Xenopus tropicalis: one gene and its partners. The protein of the gene in region 2 purifies or fractionates together with the protein of the main gene of each other region. This does not show direct contact. Links are inferred from orthologs where the notes say so. Each region holds a gene or a part of one and is shown on either strand. Other genes may lie near its edges.

Region 1 (4,164 bases), on a different chromosome or scaffold from region 2:
TATTACTATAATATATGCCTTTAATAACCAGTATGAACCCCCCCCCACAAAAAAAAACAAAAAAACCCAAAACCAAAAACTGCTGGCAAACTGTAGAACTGTAACAACTAATCATTACTAAGTAAATTCCAATTGCACCAGTACCTGCTTAGTGTTCCCACCATTACTCTGCTGGGACGTGGATGCACTTGCAAAGTTTGTGCCAGTATAAGAGCTGCTACCACTGGTACTTCCACCACCGCCGCTGTTGTTGTTGTTTCCACCACCGCTGCTGCTGCTGCTGCTCTTGCCACTGCAGTTATTACACAGGATCTCCCCCTGGTTTCCCTTCTTCCACATGGAAGATGTGTTGGTTTTGCACATGCTGCATGTTGGCTTTAATCCCAGCGGCATCTGAATCACAAAAGGGAATGGCATAAGCCATTACACAGCTCTCTTGGTGTGCTTAGAAAATCAAACAACATGGGAAATTGGTTATCAAACTATTAAAATGATATTACTAACCGTGATATAATTTTGCTGTGGCCTTTCATTTGCCAATTATCTGCAAGATATGAAAAACAGTTATTTACATAAAAACACAAATACACACACAAAAAAAATTGGTTAGGTGGTTCACTTTAAGTCTGCTTTCAGTATGTAACCTTTTATTTGGTGTTCATTTTTGTAGTTTTTGTTATTTGCCTTTCCTTAATTTCTATTGCTCTGTAAGGCTACAAATGTGTTCATTTTTATTATCTATCATTCTTTTCAGGCCCTCCCCTATTCATCTTCGAGTCTTTTGTTCAAACCACTGCCTGGTAAAATTGTACCCTAGCAACCAGATGGCTGATAAACTTCCAAACTAGATAGCTGCTGAAAAAAAGTGCATAAATTGTCTCAGAATATCACCAAAATATCACTCAAAAACCCCATCACATACCCCTACAGAAATGATAGCAGAAGATACTAAACAGCTCACTGGTATGTAGGGGCAGTTTTCTGGAAAACCAATGCGCCAGTAAAGCAGTACTACACAACTTCATAAGACAGCGAGGGCCCATAAGTCAATAGTGTCCTTAAGTCTTCCCATATTTCTCCCGTTCAGATGAAAGTTCCCATAATGCCGTGCTCCTGCACCGACACCCAGACCAAGTGAACATGCTCAGTTAGTAAGACTATGAGTCAGCTTCCTGCTGATTGGCTCAGATCCACATTCCTAAGGGGGGGAGTGAGTTCTTAGCATTCTTGAGGGAGGGGTGGAGAAGGAATGAGCAGAAAGCAAAGAGCTGCGTGTCTCTGGCACAGGAAAACAGACACAACGAATCTTTTGACAGAGAACTCAGTGCAGCGTTTCTGTGAGTGCTTATGGCTGTATTTACATAGACCTTTCTAATAAAGCTTACTTAGTTTTTACCTTTCCTTCTCCTTAAAAACCTCACCCACATCCAACATTTTCTTTACTTTTTCTTTGTTTCTGTCCTGCTTTTCCCTTCACCTTTTCCATATGTAAATTTGTGTTCTTCTCTAACAATTTTATTGCTATTCCAGAATTTTACTCTCTTCTTTTCTCTATCATCGGTCTCCAGCCTTAAGCTGGCCATACACGTGGCGATCTGACGATGTTTTGTGCGACCATCGGTCGCACGAAACATCGTCAGATTCGCCACACACAGTCAGGGCTGAAACAGCAGATAAGGAGGTAGAAACAATAGGATTTCTACCTCCTTCTGCCGATTCAGCCCTGATGGCAGATTTTGGTCAGGCGCCTTCTATGGCGCCCGATCAAAATTTTCTAACCTGGCCGATCGGCGAGTCGACCGATATCAGCAGCTTCCTGTGATATCGGTCGACTCGCCGACATGCCATACACGCACCGAATATCGTACGAAACGAGGTTTCGTACGCTAGTATCGGTGCGTGTATGGCCAGCTTTATTCTCAGAGAGCCTTTCTCTACTTGCTTTAATGCTCCGCCATCTTTTTTTATGTACCCTTCTCTCCGAACAACCATTGTCTCTGTTCTTTACAGAATTATTCTAAACTTGTATTCTCATTCTTATGCTGCTTTCCCAATTCTCCTTACTTTGCTTTCCCATTTACCTTCTGCTCCACCTTTCCTTATTGTCCCACCATCTCTTTGTTTACCATAAATCCTGAATTATTATTTCCACTTATCTTCACTGTATTTTCTCTGCACTTCTTTGTTAGTTTTTTAACCCCTGCATTGCCAGGATAGCCAGAGCCCAGGCCAACACACATGTAATACACAGATACAGCACAGACACATCTATTTCCCCATCCGCCCTGCTACTTCTCTTGCTGCTGTGTTTCCTTTCTTACCTATCTCTTTAAGCTAATATAATAATTGTATCCCACCTATTAGTTTCCCTTCATTTAACCCTCTCTCTCCCCTATTTCTATATTACCATTTTAATCTCCATCACGCCCATTCTTTTGTTTTCTCTTGTTTTGTACTTTATTTCATTCTGCTTTTCAGTACCTTCCTACTCTGCTATTTGTCCCCCTTCTCTGCTGCCGTCACACTTTCTTTCCCAGCATGTTTGCACTATCTGATTAGTTCTTTAGCCTTGGCATGTGTGTTATTCCCAACAGCAATGTGGTACAAAGGCAGAAGGAAGGGGCCGCACACAGACCGGCTGGGGAAACACATACAGGGAGTCAGTGTGGGACCTACCGCCCAATAGTCCGGCTCCTCAGCACATCCCGCACATCCCGCACCGCCAGATCGCTGTTTAAATATCCCGCAACACCTTAAAGTCTCCCGCACTTCCGCAAGCGGCTAATTCAGGCGTCACAAATCTCATCTTGCGAGACTGTGACGTCACGTCATTACGCAAAATGAGTGCGCCCACCCTCCGCCGGGAGTTGGACTCTCCGTTAACCCTAGTCACTAAGGTAGGCGAACCGTGGGACTGTGGGAAAGCTATCAGGAGGGGAGCCTGACACTATTATCTCTCTATATGGCGCTGATACCGCCTGGGCCTGGCTGCATCGGTGTGTCTGTGTACCCAGCATGGGGCTCTGTGGCACTTTCACTTCAGCTCCCGTTTGTCCTGCGGTTAGTCACTTTCTTTCTCCATGTGCCATACATATATAGTAGAGCCAATCAACTCTGAGTGAGTGAAAATATGTCCCCTCCAATGGGATGTGCATTTTATTGACAGAAACCTAATGGAAGCCGAGAGGAGGCCTGTCCAAGCGTTCTTGTGATCCTTTATCCAGAAACCTGTTACCCAGAAAGTTCCAAATTACGGAAAGGCCATATCCCATAGACTCCATTATAAGCAAATAATTCTATTTTTTTTAAATGATTCCCTTTTCTCTGTAATAATAAAACAGTACCTGTACTTGATCCCAACTAAGATATAATTACCCCTTATTGGGGGCAGAACAGCCCTATTGGGTTTATTTAATGGTTAAATGATTCCCTTTTCTCTGTAATAATAAAACAGTACCTGTACTTGATCCCAACTAAGATATAATTACCCCTTATTGGGGGCAGAACAGCCCTATTGGGTTTATTTAATGGTTAAATGATTCCCTTTTCTCTTTAATAGTTAAACAGTACCTGTACTTGATCCCAACTAAGATATAATTACCCCTTATTGGGGGCAGAACAGCCCTATTGGGTTTATTTAATGGTTAAATGATTTCCCTTTTCTCTGTAATAATAAAACAGTACCTGTACTTGCTCCCAACTAAGATATAATTACCCCTTATTGGGGGCAGAACAGCCCTATTGGGTTTATTTAATGGTTAAATGATTTCCCTTTTCTCTGTAATAATAAAACAGTACCTGTACTTGATCCCAACTAAGATATAATTACCCCTTATTGGGGACAGAACAGTCCTATTGGGTTTATTTAATGGTTAAATGATTCCCTTTTCTCTGTAATAGTTAAACAGTACCTGTACTTAATCCCAACTAGGATATAGTTAATCCTTATTGGATGAAGCCAGAGATTCCTGGCAATATTCAGCCAACTGAACCTGAACCAAATGTTTCCTGTCTTTTCACTGCGCAGGAAGCCGGGGGTCACAGAGTTGTTGGCTGCCTGTCTCATCTGAGTTCTGATTTTGTTTAGTATTGGACTGGGTTCTTGATATAAAACAATCTTTCTCTATTCTTTGTGTGGACACTGTTTTATATACAGTTCTGTTT
Region 2 (3,514 bases):
TCACAGCTCTCGCAGTAAAAAATCCTTTCCGAATGTTTAAATGGAACCTCCCTTCTTCTAAACGGAGTGGGTGCCCTCGTGTCCGTTGGAAGGACCTACTGGTAAATAAAACATTAGAGAGATTATTATATGATCCCCTTATATATTTATACATAGTTATCATGTCACCCCTTAAGCGCCTATTAAGGTGCCCTTTAATAACTTGTCAGTGACTTACTGTAACTTATGTATTATTAGAAAAAAAAAATTATGTCTCCCCATCTTTGTAGAGTGTCATGAGCTATATAAAAGCACTTTTACTTCGGCCTCATGCCATTTATATGGATATGGAACTCCTTAATTCTAACATCCTTGTGTTTTAGAATAGCAATTATACAGGAAAAAAATGTACGCTCTGTTTCTAAGCCCAGGTCCTGTTCACACGTCTAACCTATGTAACCGATATAGTTCTTAATAATAATACTGTTATGGATTTAGAAAGCAATATACATTTCCCCCTTATTTAAGCAATACAAAGTTACACCTTGTTTGAGAGCCCCTTTATTCAGAAGCAGTTATATAAGGAAACATAGTAGGCAATTTGCCACTAGAGGTCACTGCGTCATCACTGTATGTGGGTGGAAGCTACATTGTAAGAGATGAGTCTGCCTGTGTGCAGACACGCGGAGCTTATTTCAGAAATGAAAATGCATACTCCTATTTCAGCACCGATATCCGCTGCGTGTGGCCCCTGTTAGTGCAGACACAGAAGGGCTCTGTGTAACTGTAGCCTTAATGAGCAGTAATAGGAAATTAGCTTATGTACTCACCACATATAAACAAGGTCTTTTTTTTCAATTGTTAGTGCTTAGTGTATTGTGCTTTAAAAGACAACTAAAGTCTAATTAATGGCAGGGTATTATTCCATTATATTAGGAACCCCCACTGAATTTTTCCACCCAGGCTGGCGTCTTACACAATGTAGAATGAGGTGGATCTTTATATTTATAAGCTGCCATTGCATCTGTATTTACCAGGGGATCACTTGCACCTAGCTAGATGTGCAGTATAGAATTTTCCTGAGCATGTTTGTTGCTATGCAAAAGGGTTCCCTGGTAAGATGACTAAATAGAAAAATACCAAAACCATGACTCTCTAAACAGCTTATCTGCTTATTTTTATGCACTGCGTAGTGTCCACCTGATCCACTACAAATAACAATAACGTTTATTAATGCATTTCATTACTTTCTGTCTAAATGGAGGGAGGCAAACAGCCAATGCAGGGATTTATATGCTGTATGAGGCAGATTTAATAACATTAGTCAGCCTCAAAATCCGTAGGGAACAGGTTTGAGTGTGCTTGTTTCTTGTGATCTAGCACATATACTTCTCTTGGCATTAAATTTTGTCTTTTCTCATAGGTGAGCGTGTCTTGTGTTTTCATGGTCCTCTGCTTTATGAAGCTAAGGTAGGCTTTGTACTAAATATGAACACACTATTATTTCTTTGTTAAACTTTATGAATGTTAAGGAAGGTGATTAAAAATTTAAGTTGGCCTCTTGCCAATGACACCTGGGACTATTTTGGGTACTTTAGCTTAGAAACACTATACTAAATTGCCCGACAGCACAGATTTTTAAGGCTACCATTGCCTGACAAGCCTATGTCTATGAAAAGCCTGTCATGTCTATGGTTCAGATGAATTTCTACCAGATCTCTGGACAATTAAAAACCTATGTGCCTTTGCCCTATATGAGGTTTTTGTTTTTTTTTACTATGAATTAAACTTCACATAAGAACATCATTGATCTACTGAGTACAATAATGACCCATAAGGGTGTAGAGCTCTTATTTGTGGATGCAGAAAAGCAATTCTCTGTAAATTACATCCCCCATTTATGATGTAGCTGGGTAGAGATAACATGGATCATTTACTTACATAGTACAGGTATGGGATCCCTTATCCAGAAACCCGTTATTCAGAAAGTTCTGAATTACAGAAAGGACATCTCCCATAGACTCCATTTTAACAGACTTAAGTTATGGAGATCCAAATTACAGAAAGTACAGTAATACAGTAAGTTATGTTATGAGTAGAGCTTTCACCCCCCTCTGCCTAAAATACTTTATAGATGCATTTCTAACCCAGTCCTTCGAAGGGTTAAATTGGTTTCTTAACAGAAAGATAATTCAATTATAGGGCTGCTGTTCATGTGATTTTGTACTGCAGGCTTATGATACAAGAAATAGAGATTACAGCGATTTTCACCGTTGCCCTTATTGCTGGAATATATAAAGTTTGTACTTGATTAGTCTACCACAGATCAATTGTTGTGATGTATAATCCTGCTGTACTTGCCTCCTCTGACAAGAAGTATATATTCTGGGTGGTCTGGGGCAAGCAGGCTCAGTAGAGAAGTCACAGCAGGTTTAGGAATGGCTGCTCAAGTCTCCTGCTGAGCTCAAAGTCTTGGCATCTGCATTGCATTGGCTGCATTCTTGAGCCTGTGCACATGTATATGTATCCAGAGGGGTTTCACAGCAGGTATGCATTGGGTGCCCTATTTTAAAACATGGGAAGCAGGTTATAGAAAAAGTTAGACTGTTGAATGGCATGACTGTAGCTGTTAAATTAACAGAATTGGATGCGGTTTTCAGTCAAACAAAGGCAAACAAAGCAAAATGCTGTCTTGAGGAGACTGTTTGCAGAAAATGTTTGTAAAGTGTGTATGCAGTTTATCTCATTTATAAAAAAGTTATGGTTGCCATACAGGCCAAGACCCACTTGCTTGGCAAGGTCGCAAGTAATCAATTTAGAACAATGTGTATAGACGTCCGTCGGTTCAGGGACCGCATCAACGAGCTGTCGCGGGCCCCGATCCAACTAATATTCAAACCTGCCCGATCGAGATCTGCCCAATTTCAGGCCAGATGTTGGTCGGGCGGGTCTGTCGTTAGTGTCCAAACACGTGCTGATAAGCTGCCGAATCTGTCTAAGGGACCGATACTGGCAGCTAGAATCGTCCCGTGTATGTTACCCAAACAGCGGTTCCTAAAATGTAAGGTCTATTCCTGAGAGGGCATGGAACAGCATCAGATGGGACTGTGTCTGAAGGCCTATTTTTGGGGCATACCCATTTGCTCTTTAGGATGCACCTGAAAGAACAAAGGCTAGATGCAAACAGTCTGACAACCGCTGAGATAGGGAAAATACTATACTCCTTTTTTCAGGATGGGCATACTATTTTGCTCATAGCTCATGTCATATGCTTGCATTTCTGAGTACTAGATAAAGTTTGATCTTTCTTTTTATATTAGTGTGTGAAAGTTGCCATTAAGGACAAACAAGTGAAGTACTTCATTCACTACAGCGGATGGAATAAGAAGTAAGTTATATGTAGATTGACATTTCTCATTTTTAATTGACTTAATTAGATATCTATTCTTCAGTTGAAGGTAGTATTATTCTGATAACGTTGTATAGTTCTGGCTTTCATATAGCTAGAATAAACCCTCATAGAGATGAAAAAGTC
Region 3 (4,304 bases), on a different chromosome or scaffold from region 2:
ACTCTTTTGCATGTCTGGCTAAGCAAAGACTATTTTTATACTGTTGCCAGAAGGTCAGAGCTGTAAGCAGCACTTTTTATGTTTTTATATTTATCTACTAATTTTGTTTTGTCACTTTAACTTTTTATTTCACGTTTGGAGCCAATCAGGTCTCCAGCTCTAACATCTGGCTATTAAGCTCTTTTACCCCTAGCTTTTGTGAAACCACAACTGTGAAGGGATCCTATCTAGCTGAGGTAAAGGACAGTCTATAGACCACTACAGTTGTAGGACTTTTGGCTTCAGGGTAGGGGATAAATAGGACTCCCCTAGACCTGATGAAGAGGGCCTAAGACACCTGCCCCTTCAGGCCTCCTCGCTGGGGGGGCATTCATTCTTTCCATTTTAAAGGAGGGTCTAAATTTGCTGACCCTTGCATTCTTTTGTTTTTTTTTTGCACCTGGGTGAAAAAGCATGTTCTTCAGGCTTCAAAAAACATATGAGTGAGATTGGCAGGGAAGGTCATAGTCATAGTAAACTTAGACTTTGCTGATAAACTTGGTCTTTGCTGATATGAGGGTTGGTTACTTGGGGAGCTCACATTCCAGTTACTGCATGGGGCTCCAAATGTTTTACTTTAGATTAGTTTAGATTTTTTTTCCTTACATACGTTGCATTTTATTCTCAGGGGGACGGATGATCTTCGACAGTATCAGCTTAACCAATAAATACGTTTATGAGTACCAGAGGTCATTGTAGAGCTGTAAACTGTAAAGTTAAATAACAAATGGTTGACCTGCATAGGAAATGGAAGTATGGACAAAGAGCAGTATCGCTGACTCAGAGCAGGGAAGGCGATTTAAAAGTGTTTATATAAGGAAATATGTGCTATAATGATACTTTTCTTTCCCTTACAACACAGCCATACATGAAGAAATAACTAGGCACTATCACAATATGCTGGCGCTAGAGACAAGAAGTGCAATCGAGTCACTGTATTCATGGATTGTACGCAACACAATGCAGTGCGTCACTGTAACGTTACAAAGCTTACTGTCTCGGCAGGCTGCAGAAATCCTAACGAACTGCATTTGGTCCTGACATTTCTGCAGACATAAACGTGCAGACTATCTGCTTTGCAAAGCCATGTTTTAAGAGAGTAAATCATTTCAGGCCAATAAAGAATATAAAAAGAAAGAGTTCTGCACCGCGCCCTTTATTATACAGCAATTAATGGAAAGGATAAGGCGTGGTATATCTAAGTGTAGATTTAATGAAACATATATATGTATATTGATATCTATGTATGTACGTATCTGTGTATATACGTATCCGCATCCTAGCTAGTAGGTGTAACTGCCTCACTCTACGCGCCCCCTTCGCCCGCAGTTCCTACAGCCAATCAGCTTCCCAGTTCCTGGAACGCTCCTTATATGGTGCAGCCGGCTGGGGCGCGCAGCATAAAACCGGCGCCCTAGCCCGACAACTGCTCAGTGACCCGCCCGCACAGAAACAGGACAGTGTGTGTGTCGTACTCTCAGGCAAGTAGCGCCGAGCCTGCTATTGTTGTGCTTTTCCTCTGCTATTTCCTGCTTCTATTCGCCTATTTTTCTCTATATATTATTAGAATAAGCATGATTTGGTTCTAATTGGCTATGTTTTTCATAATGTGCTTGAAATAGTTGGTAGCTTAATGTAGCGTTATTTACTTGAAGGTAAGACTTGTTAGTAGACAAGCGTGAAGCCTGGTTCTGGAATTGTGCTAAAGTTCAGTTCCTTATATGCTTAATTAGATCTTAATTGATAAAGGACACTGGAAGTTGTAGGTTGTACATACTGGAGAGCTGGGGAACCATTTTTCTGTTACAGCAGGTTTAACTTGTAAGTTGCATTTAAAAATAGGGTTTTGTTTTTTTTTTGTATCGTTTCCTCTTCTGTAAACTGAGCCCCCAATAGCAGCGCCGCTTGGGGATGTGCGATTGGGCGGTTCCCTGCCGATGTTAGTGTGAGGCTGCACACAAAGCTACATATTGTGTATAAGTGTGTGATGCAATCTGTGTCGGAACAGCCTTTTGCTGTCTAAAATATATTGGCGGTAGTTCTCTCCCGCTTCGGTTTAGACTTTCCATATGCATGTATATCCGTAACTAGAATACAAAAGCGCAAGTTACATCTTATATATTTATTTTGTCCTTGCACTGGTAAAAACGGAGTCACACCTGCAGTATGTGATTCTGTCCTGTAGTGTTGCCTTCATGAAACATTGGGAGTGGTAGTCGGTTGGTTCGATTGCCTAATACCAGCAGTGACTTGTTTCTTTGCCACACCTTCACTATCCATGGCTGGATGGGAGGGGTGCTTGTGTAAATCTTTGCTGTTGCCTTATTTGGTAATACAGAAAATAAATCGATTTCCCTTTGTCTAAATCTGTACAGAAATGGTGCAAACCCCTGCGCCCTCTTGTGACAGACCTTATGAAATGCAAGTAATGGGCAGGAAGCGTCCTTGTGGTATATACCAGCGCTCATAATTTGGGTGGATAATTATCTCAATTTTATTTATTTTTTAAATTTCAGATTACAATGGACGACGATATTGCTGCACTGGTCGTTGACAATGGTTCTGGTATGTGCAAAGCCGGCTTTGCAGGTGATGATGCACCCCGTGCTGTTTTCCCATCCATTGTTGGTCGCCCAAGACATCAGGTATGCCCTTTTCATGCCTTTTTCATTTCATGTCTAAATAAAACCTAGAAATAAAACTAGTAAAGCACCTCTAACAAATCAGTGTGTTGTCCCAAGGAGGTAAAACATTTTTTTTTTTTTTTTATGTATTTAACTGTTAAAGGTGAAACTAATCTGGGGGCAAATAAAACTGCAATTCTGCATGGGTTATAGGTATGTTGGTAACAATATATTTGCCATTGAGTGTTTTTAAACCATACACGTAAGGATAGTTTCCAAAAAGTGTTGCATAAGATGATGCAATTTTTTTTATTTTTTTTTTTTTTTTTACTCTTTCAAATAAACACTGCAGGCAGGAATAATCACATAAATAGCTGTGCCTAGGGCACCCCCCAACTCTTGTGCCCTAGGCTTGTGTCGGTTATTCCTTTAAGCTGGTTTTGGGCACTTCTCGGCAAGGCTGAAACTAGGAGTAGGCATATTTAAAATAAACTCTTTATACTGTCCACACAAACCCTGTTTATTGACTTATGCTGTGTAAGTGCTAAAGCCAGTTACATTTTCCAACCCTGCATGAAAAGAATTTCTTTTCAGAGTGTAATGTGGTTTAATTTAAATGGAAAAATATTTTAATTAAGTGCAGGTTAAGTGTGTGTATATAGATATTTAATATGATATATATATTGTACTTTGCACACTACATTTCCATATTCTTTGCAAATTGCCTACTTCTGTTTATTTGTGAAATACACAGGGGCGTGGTTAACATAGCAAATGTTCTTGCATACTCTTGTTTCCTGTAAGCACAAGATGACAGGAAGTATTACGAAATTAGAGGGCCCTGCCCAAAAGAGCTTTTACTCTAGAATTTCCTCTTAAAGTCTGCATTATGTGAGGTCCATGAAAATCCACTTTATTCATTCCATTGTCTGGCTAGTATTGAATTAAGGCATGCTTTTCATTTACTAAATTACTTAATTTAGTCCAAATTGTCTTACGCTTTATTTTAGGGTGTCATGGTTGGAATGGGACAGAAAGATAGCTACGTAGGAGACGAAGCTCAAAGCAAAAGAGGTATTCTTACACTCAAATATCCTATTGAGCATGGCATTGTCACTAACTGGGATGATATGGAGAAGATCTGGCATCATACCTTCTACAATGAACTCAGAGTGGCCCCAGAGGAACACCCAGTGCTGCTGACAGAAGCACCCTTGAATCCCAAAGCTAACCGGGAGAAAATGACGCAGGTATGTTACCTGTTTTCTGGTGTGAGGGTTTGGGTTGTGGGTTTTGTTTTGTGTTTTTTGTTTTTTAATTATATAATTGCTATTCCTTACAGGGCTGTCCTGGCCTCAAAGTTTACTGGAATCTCAAAGGTTTTTTTTCAGTATTTGCCTGTTTTACATCAAGGGTAGAATACTAACAATGTTAGCGTTGTGTGAAAAGTGCTGAATGATGGCTTGTTTTTCAAAGTTCACTTTGCTTGTGTTTTTCCTCACATTGGCCCTGCCTAAATTTGTGTTGTGTGCAGCAAAATCAAATGCTGTTCTGAAACTACACATGCATGAGTTTTGGATGCCTTTATGCAGGTAATGTGCTAATTGCCTTTTCAACCATTACAGATCATGTTTGAGACCT
Region 4 (3,514 bases), about 110 Mb from region 2:
TTGTGCACATTACAGGTGCTCCACCTCTTTCACGGTGCTCTGCTCTCCCACATGATCCACAGTTCCCCTGCTATTTAGACAGGGCTATTCTCCTGCGCTCTTCCCAGGACTCTCCCACTGCTCAGGCCAGTATTGAGACTGCTCCAGGGGTTTGCCCTGGACCAATTCTTGGGCTTTTTAGATCTCTTTCCTTAACAGTGCCTAATCTCTTACTACTACTTGTCAAGGTAGGTGACCAGTACTAGTCTATCCTGGCCTCATTGTGTGACCCCTCTCCCCAATGAGATTCCACAGTGAGTGATCTCAGGTCCCTTGGGTTACCTGTTGTACAGAATCAGCCATTGCCTTCCCTTTTACAACATATGTTGTAGAGTTTGTTCAGTGTCCAGATTTCTTCTCTCACCTATTTTTTTATGTTGTATAGATGTCATCGAGTTGAAAGTCATGCTGGAGGATGCGGAAGATAGGAAGTTTCCAGAGAACGATCTGTACCGCAAACTCCGGGATGCCGTTAAGGAGGCAGAAACCTGTGCATCTGTTGCCCAGTTGCTACTCACCAAAAAACAAAAGCACAAGTATGAGTTGTTTCACATGAATAGCAGTGTACCCCGGCAGGGCATCAGTTTAACAGCTCCTTATAATCTTTACCTGGAAATACCAAAGGCTAATGGCTAGGGATGCACCGAATCCAGGATTCGATTCGGTATTCAGCCTTTATCTCAGGGTTCGGATTTGGCCGAAGCCACGGTCTTGGCCGAACCAAATCCTAATTAGCATATGCTGCATATGTCGCCGCATAAACATGGAAGTGTAAATTTTTTAACATTTAACCCTTCCAGATCCTAACTAGCATATGCTAAGTAGGATTCAGATTTGGTTCGGTGTTCAGTTGAATGCCTTAATGTGGATTCGGTGGTTCGGCCGAACCCGAAAAACTGGTTTCAGTGCATCCCTACTAATGGCACAACCTCTGTTTTTCCCATTTGCTAAGAAATGGAGATGCCAGACGAAACTGCCCCTTTGAGTAGTGACAGGTGGTGTCAGCGTGACCCATTGGTCTTACAATTCCTCACTTACCATGGAATTTATAAATGTTTAACAGCCCTAATATGTTGTCATGATGTTTTAACATTTCTTCAATTTAAATAATGCTGCAGTCCTTCTGTATGTGTTTGTTTGGAACAGGGCAGGTTCTGTCGCAGTCTCTTAAGTGTTTATTGTTTTGCAGCAGATTAAACCCAGAATATGGGAAGACTCGCACCAAACTTACCATGGAGGAGCTCAAAGCCTTTGTGCATCAGCTGTTCAGCCTGCCCTGCATTATCTCTCAGGCCCGACAGGTTAAGGTGGGTGAAACAAAAATAAGCACTGCTTAAGCTCTCTTGTGTTTCTGGCTGGGCTTGCTATAGAGAGATCCTCAGTTCCACAGCAGTGAAACGTGGCCTCTGCAGGTTGCATACTTTGTATTTGGGATCATAGAGAGTAACATGCACCATATTCCTTATAGGATCATGAAATCTGTAACCTGCTTATATGATGGAGCATTGTCCATAGAACAGAGGCCTTCACCTTAAAGCAGTTTATAAAAAAAAAATTACCTTCGATGCAGCCAGCTGTTCTTCTGCACACAGATACTAAGTGGGGTGCCGTTATTGCTCCCACCACTGGGGATATCCTTGTTTTTTTTTCTCTTTGGTTTTCTCCCCTGAGAGCCATTCCATACCCTGGCACATTTCTTTTCTTTGAGAAATGATTTGGTGGTTCATCAAGTTTTATCAAAGAGGCATACAATCATATTCTCAGTTATAGGGGGTATATATATGTTGAAATTAATGCTTTGGCTGCAAAGTGCCAAGCAGTGGGGTGGAACCGAAAAGGAGTAATCATAACTGCTGAGCTGTCTTTGTCCCGAGTTGCTGTTAGAATAAGAAATAAAAGAAAGTTTTGAGTGTAAGAGCTTTAAGAGCCATTGATACTACATTGTACATTCTTGTTTCCTTTTTCCAATCATAGAACCTGCTTGACGACGTGGAGGAGTTTCATGAACGCGCGCATGAAGCCATGCGTGACGATATCCCTGACTCCAGCAAGCTTCAGGCTCTCATAGACCTCGGCTCCAGCTTGTATGTAGAACTTCCAGAACTGCCACGGTTAAAGCAAGAACTTCTGCAAGCCCGTTGGCTTGACGAGGTGCGGCAGACTTTGTCAGACCCTCACAGGGTTACTTTGGATGTGATGAAGAAACTGATTGACTCTGGAGTGGGTCTGGCACCCCATCACGCAGTGGAGAAAGCAATGGCAGACTTACAGGAACTGCTCACAGTATCGGAGAGGATGGAAGAGAAAGCCAAAACATGTCTGCAAGCCAGGTAAGAGACAAGAAGTGCTTGTTCCCAGACTGCATTTGGGGAATGTTTTCTGATTTTATTCTAAATTGCAAGATTTTTCTTTTAACAATTTTTATTTTTGTTTGCCCTTCCAGGCCACAGCACAGTATGGGAGGTATTGAGAGCATCATCGTGGAAGCCAAGAACATCCATGCATATCTGCCCAATGTGCTTGCTCTTAAGGAAGCCCTGCAAAGGGCTAAAGATTGGACAGCTAAAGTGGAGGCCATTCAGGTATAGAGAAACATGGTGCACATTATTCTGACAATATTATCATTTCAGGGGGGCACAGGCAATGGAGAGTTAACACATCTTTCCAGGAGGAAAGGACACCAAAAGGTCAAATGTTTTAACAGCCCACGCTCAGGGGCAGGAGTTTTGGCTCCATTCCCTCGGTTCCTGAGCAGGGGGGACCATGGGGGGATGGACACTGGCTGATACTACAGCCTGCCTCTGGTCTACAGGCTGGGGTGTAGCTTAGACCCCTGGGGCTACACAGTGGAGCAGGGACCTTGGCTCAGATCCCCCTGTCACAGAAGCACTCACAGGCTCTGGAGAGGAGCCTTGCCAGCTCAATGTTACGGTCTGGAGTATGAGGAAGCTCGTAGACTGCTAGTACAAACCATTTAGGTGAAGTAGAAGAGCCCTGGCAACCCTGGTTTTCACAGATGCCCTTTTGGGGCCCTGGACTTTCTGCTGGGGGAAGACAGGGATTCTAAACACTACCAAGGTTGATACGAAAACGCAGTACCAATAGGATCAGGCAGAGGCAACCTCAGTGTCAGGCAATTGTCAAAGGCAGGCAGTGGAGATTCAGTGTAAAAAAACAGAGTAAAAAAATCAGTATAGCAAATGAAACAAGGCTTTAGCTATGATCTAGAAAATTAGAACCAGCTTAGGCAAAGAAAATAAACAAAGTTTGAATTTGGTGCCAAAATGACGTCAGCAAATCACAGAGGGTTCCTCCGACGAGTAGTCCCATCAGACAGATCCTTCTCCCTTTGTTCTCCTTGTTTTAACGGCCCTCAATGTCTCAGCACCCATCTTATCAGACCCCTACAAGGATCTTATCAAGCAACAGAAGAAGACATTCAGAGCCTTCCCCTGACACGAACAGCTCTTCTTGG
Region 5 (3,977 bases), on a different chromosome or scaffold from region 2:
GGGGGGGTACTGTGTATGGGGGGGCTGCTGTGTATGGGGGGCTGCTGTGTACGGGGGCACTCTTTATGGGGGGTTACTGTGTATGGGGGGGCTACTGTGTATAGGGGGCACTGTTTATGGGGGGCTACTGTGTATGGAGGGACTGTGTATGAGGGAGCTACTGTGTACGGGGGACACCTGTGTATGGGGAAGCAAAACTGCTACATAGTTATAACTCACTTATAACTGATTGCCTTCTCTCTATATTTGTATTTTAATGTTGGAGTTGCTATATTGTTTTCCTTAGGTAGTACAGTATGAGGGTATAGCACATTTGCGTCTGATCCCACCATTTCATCTATATAAAAGGAGTATTTCTTTTTAAAATGGGGTGTGGTAATTGGGGCGTGGCAACAAAAATGGGCGGGGTCAAAATTGCCTCCAAGTCTTTTTGTCCCTCTTTTCATTTTTCAAATGTTGGGAGGTATGCTTAGGGTAGCAAACCAGTAAAAAATGACATTTAAAACAAGCATTACGAAGGTGGGCTTTTACTTCCAGAAGAGATTTGCACCCTAGCCCATCCAGGCTATCCTGCTATATCTACGTTTTCCAGAACACAACACCAATTGAGTTTTCCTCTTTCCTATTAATCGCAACCCTATCCACTGCCAATTTTGTAGGCTAAGCTGTTAAACCCCGAGGTCTGCGGCACTGAATACATTTCGTTCTGATAGTGGAAGATAGCAATTCTAACGATCACGAAGCTCCCGCATCCCTTCGGCTCAAGCTTTTGAAAACTCTATCTTCTACATTTCCCTAATGAATGCTGCTCCACTGCTTGAGAACGGGAAGGTTCCTACTTAAAACAAATGTTATCGGTATAATAGGTTCATACTTCCTACAGAATAACTACCTAAAATTATTACAATTCACTCCGCACATTAGGAAAAAAAAACACGCTACTACTTTACGCCATGCCAAAATTAAACATGGCCGCGAAACTTTCGGCCTCCCCGCCTCCTTTTACGTAACCAGGTTATTTTCCTCTGATTGGTCAGCCTTGTCCTAGCGTTTGGCGCTAGCCCTTGCGTAAGCGAAGGCGACGGCGGCGGCGTGCCTGTCTGTAACTTTGGCGGGGGATGTTGATGCTGCGTCACTGGTAGTCTTTCTTCTTCTTGTGAGTGTTTGGCGCGGGAAGCTGCAGCAGGACCGGCACAAGCGCGGAACACTGGGTTTTTAGTCACCGCGAGGCCGGCGGCCCTTGCATCTGCACAGGAGTAGAGAAGATGGCGAATAAAGAGAGTAAGTGGGCAGAAAGCTGCTTTATGAGCACGTTTTGGGTTTCTAAAGGGACGGTACTGGGGATGCAGGCATGCTATCCGGGTGCTACCGATTATGACACAGTTTTATATTAAGAAGCTGTGGCCGCTTTGTTTACTGCACCGCTTGTGGTGTGTATGGGAGGCATACCGGATTCTCTTAGGCCTTATCCTACCGCGTAGGCTTGCTGGCTACGGTCCCTATTGCTGGCCTGTAAGGCTCTGGGCCCTCAATTAGAAGAGGGAGTTTATAGTTTGGCACTGTAAGTCGCTACATTTAGTTCCACTACAAGCCAGTTGCCAGGCAGTATTAAAAAATGTAAGATGGGGGATCGACAAAGTGATGAGAATTTTAAGTTAAAACACATTTAGAAATGTAGGTATTGCCTTGTGTAAAGTTGGACTGATCTTTCTTGGGAAACAGAACCAGAGCTTTCTTACTTGCACCACAATAAATGTATGGCATGTGTAACTTTGGTCTGACAGGCCAGACGGCATCAGATACGCTTGTCTGGTGTCTGGTGAAACTGGTAGAATTCTTCACAGGCTGCACACACCTATTCCATCTTTAAACATTTCCTTACATTAAATCCTCCTGTTCTTTTGAGTGATTTACTAATGAGTAAGGTATCGGGCAAGTTTTTTTTTTGTATGGAATCATTAGAAATGTGTTCCTTGTGCCTGAAGTTGTAGAAGTTTCTGCGCCTACAGGGGCAAGTGTGCCTCATAAGCAGGCAGATAGGTTTTTGAGGTGCTGTGGCTCTTCCTTGAGGGCCCATAACTGTTAAACATGCACAGGGCTTGGGCTAGTGTCAGATGATCAGCATCTCAAAATAGAGAACACAGTACAGTTATCCAAAATGCTTGGTACCAAGGGTATTCTGGATAAAGGATCTTTAAGTATTTTGGATCTCCATACTTTGTCTACTAAAACAATCAGTAAAATATTAAATAATCCCAATAGGATTGTCTTGCATCCAATAAGGAATAATTATATTATTATTATGCTCTCTTCACCTCTTGTATTGGTTATTTATTGCTTTATATGTTACTCTGTATGTCCAATGTATGAAACCCACTTATTGTACAGTGCTGCAGAATATGTTGGCGCTTTATAAATAAGTGTTAATAATAATAGATCCCATACCTGTACAGGGTTCTCCTATGGTTACAGTACAGGTAGATAAATGCCAGCTGATACTGATGAATGTTGTGATAAGTGTTCCAATAATCACTTTATCTTTTTGTTAAAGGGATAATGAACTTGCGGTGTGTCTTGCTGGACACTGGCTATATGGGCACTGACTGATGTTATGGTGCATCCTATAGATCTGGGTCTGCCCAGCAAACCAATGCTGCTTTCTTCCAACCATGCTAGTTAATCACCGGTGCCACCTACTCCACTTGGTGTAGCTGTTCCGTCTGTGTATTCAGAGAGGCTTCAGATGGGGTTTTTTTGCCTTCCTCTGGATCAGCTAGTAGTTTGGCAGGTTATATATAGGCATTATGGTTGAACGTGATGGACGTATGTCTTTTTTCAACCCAACTTACTATACTATGCTGTGTAGTTCTTATTTCTGGTAGAGCACAGTGGGGAAAATATGTCACTCAAATGATGTTGGATTAAGTTTACTTAATAAATTATCTGATGTTTACATTGAAGCAACTCTGGTTCAACAACAATACATTGGCTGCCTAGTTATACATGCACACCTTATGCAGCATGTAAATGTTTACAAGCAATCAGTGCTGAGAGGTTTGTTAACAGCCAAGTTTTTGTACGTCTGTTTGACCTGACTAAGCAATTTAATGGTTTTTACTGAATTCAAACAGTAATGCATTCTATTCTGAAACATTTTATAATTTTTTTTTCTCTCTAGTGTTTGAAGATACAGTGGAAGAACGTGTCATCAATGAAGAGTATAAGATATGGAAAAAAAATACCCCATTTCTGTATGACCTGGTTATGACCCATGCACTTGAATGGCCAAGTCTAACAGTTCAGTGGCTCCCGGATGTGACTAGGTGATTTTTTATTTTTAAATTCATTTAATAGCAAATTTTAGTTGTTTTACATGATATTTAAAGCATGGTTAACACCTATTGCATTTTAAATACAACATAAGTAAATTGAAAATAAAAAATGATTGATGAACTTTGTATAAAATACTTGTGAAAAAAAACTTTAGTTCCTAGTTGTTGCTCTGTGCTGCAACCAAATACAATTGTAGAAATGCAAAAAATAGGAAAAAAACTTCAGCAGGTTTACTGCAAACCAGTTATTTTGGGTTGTGGTAACACGACATGTTTCGGGTCAATACCCTTTATCCTGCTGAAGCTTTTTTCCTATTTTTTTGGATTTCAACATTATTAAATTACCTAAGGAGCTGTGGGTAGTATCTAAGATTAAAAAATCTATATCATACTTAACAGATTGCCGCTGCCTTTAAATTTTATTTTCTAGATCAGTGCTTATTTTCAGCAAAGTGGGCCAAATATCTAACATTAAATTTTTAGGGGCTTAATTGTATTAACATTTTTCATCTTGTCTATGTGTACTGTGTATACTGTATACAAAGCGCAACAAGAAGCAAATTACATTTGCACATATTTATTAAGTGAACAGTATCCGTACCACAATACTTATATCTTAATTCCAGTACTAAATTTGCTACAAAA

Evidence for each region.
Region 1: the proteins of morf4l1 (region 2) and gatad1 purify together in Homo sapiens (affinity purification with mass spectrometry; 7 studies listed by BioGRID and IntAct, counting the BioPlex papers as one, with this or other methods). This does not show direct contact. The link is inferred for Xenopus tropicalis from reciprocal best matches to the Homo sapiens genes MORF4L1 and GATAD1.
Region 3: the proteins of morf4l1 (region 2) and actb purify together in Homo sapiens (affinity purification with mass spectrometry; 3 studies listed by BioGRID, with this or other methods). This does not show direct contact. The link is inferred for Xenopus tropicalis from reciprocal best matches to the Homo sapiens genes MORF4L1 and ACTB.
Region 4: the proteins of morf4l1 (region 2) and kdm5a purify together in Homo sapiens (affinity purification with mass spectrometry; 5 studies listed by BioGRID and IntAct, counting the BioPlex papers as one, with this or other methods). This does not show direct contact. The link is inferred for Xenopus tropicalis from reciprocal best matches to the Homo sapiens genes MORF4L1 and KDM5A.
Region 5: the proteins of morf4l1 (region 2) and rbbp7 purify together in Homo sapiens (affinity purification with mass spectrometry; 5 studies listed by BioGRID and IntAct, counting the BioPlex papers as one, with this or other methods). This does not show direct contact. The link is inferred for Xenopus tropicalis from reciprocal best matches to the Homo sapiens genes MORF4L1 and RBBP7.

Annotation. Positions count from the first base shown.
Region 1 is NC_030682.2:31,856,290-31,860,453, reverse strand, and holds the start of gatad1 (GATA zinc finger domain-containing protein 1), read right to left. Parts: upstream 2,805-4,164; 5' UTR 2,677-2,804; intron 545-2,676; 5' UTR 505-544; intron 394-504; coding exon 145-393; intron 1-144. UniProt on the Homo sapiens protein: Component of some chromatin complex recruited to chromatin sites methylated 'Lys-4' of histone H3 (H3K4me), with a preference for trimethylated form (H3K4me3).
Region 2 is NC_030679.2:118,088,485-118,091,998, reverse strand, and holds part of morf4l1 (mortality factor 4-like protein 1), read left to right. Parts: intron 1-1,402; coding exon 1,403-1,449; intron 1,450-3,299; coding exon 3,300-3,367; intron 3,368-3,514. UniProt on the Homo sapiens protein: Component of the NuA4 histone acetyltransferase (HAT) complex which is involved in transcriptional activation of select genes principally by acetylation of nucleosomal histones H4 and H2A.
Region 3 is NC_030685.2:46,572,734-46,577,037, reverse strand, and holds the start of actb (actin, cytoplasmic 1), read left to right. Parts: upstream 1-1,494; 5' UTR 1,495-1,520; intron 1,521-2,555; 5' UTR 2,556-2,561; coding exon 2,562-2,684; intron 2,685-3,673; coding exon 3,674-3,913; intron 3,914-4,288; coding exon 4,289-4,304. UniProt on the Homo sapiens protein: Actin is a highly conserved protein that polymerizes to produce filaments that form cross-linked networks in the cytoplasm of cells.
Region 4 is NC_030679.2:9,954,959-9,958,472, forward strand, and holds part of kdm5a (lysine-specific demethylase 5A), read left to right. Parts: intron 1-424; coding exon 425-575; intron 576-1,228; coding exon 1,229-1,346; intron 1,347-2,013; coding exon 2,014-2,369; intron 2,370-2,482; coding exon 2,483-2,621; intron 2,622-3,514. UniProt on the Homo sapiens protein: Histone demethylase that specifically demethylates 'Lys-4' of histone H3, thereby playing a central role in histone code. Does not demethylate histone H3 'Lys-9', H3 'Lys-27', H3 'Lys-36', H3 'Lys-79' or H4 'Lys-20'.
Region 5 is NC_030678.2:94,690,831-94,694,807, reverse strand, and holds the start of rbbp7 (histone-binding protein RBBP7), read left to right. Parts: upstream 1-1,170; 5' UTR 1,171-1,265; coding exon 1,266-1,281; intron 1,282-3,178; coding exon 3,179-3,323; intron 3,324-3,977. UniProt on the Homo sapiens protein: Core histone-binding subunit that may target chromatin remodeling factors, histone acetyltransferases and histone deacetylases to their histone substrates in a manner that is regulated by nucleosomal DNA.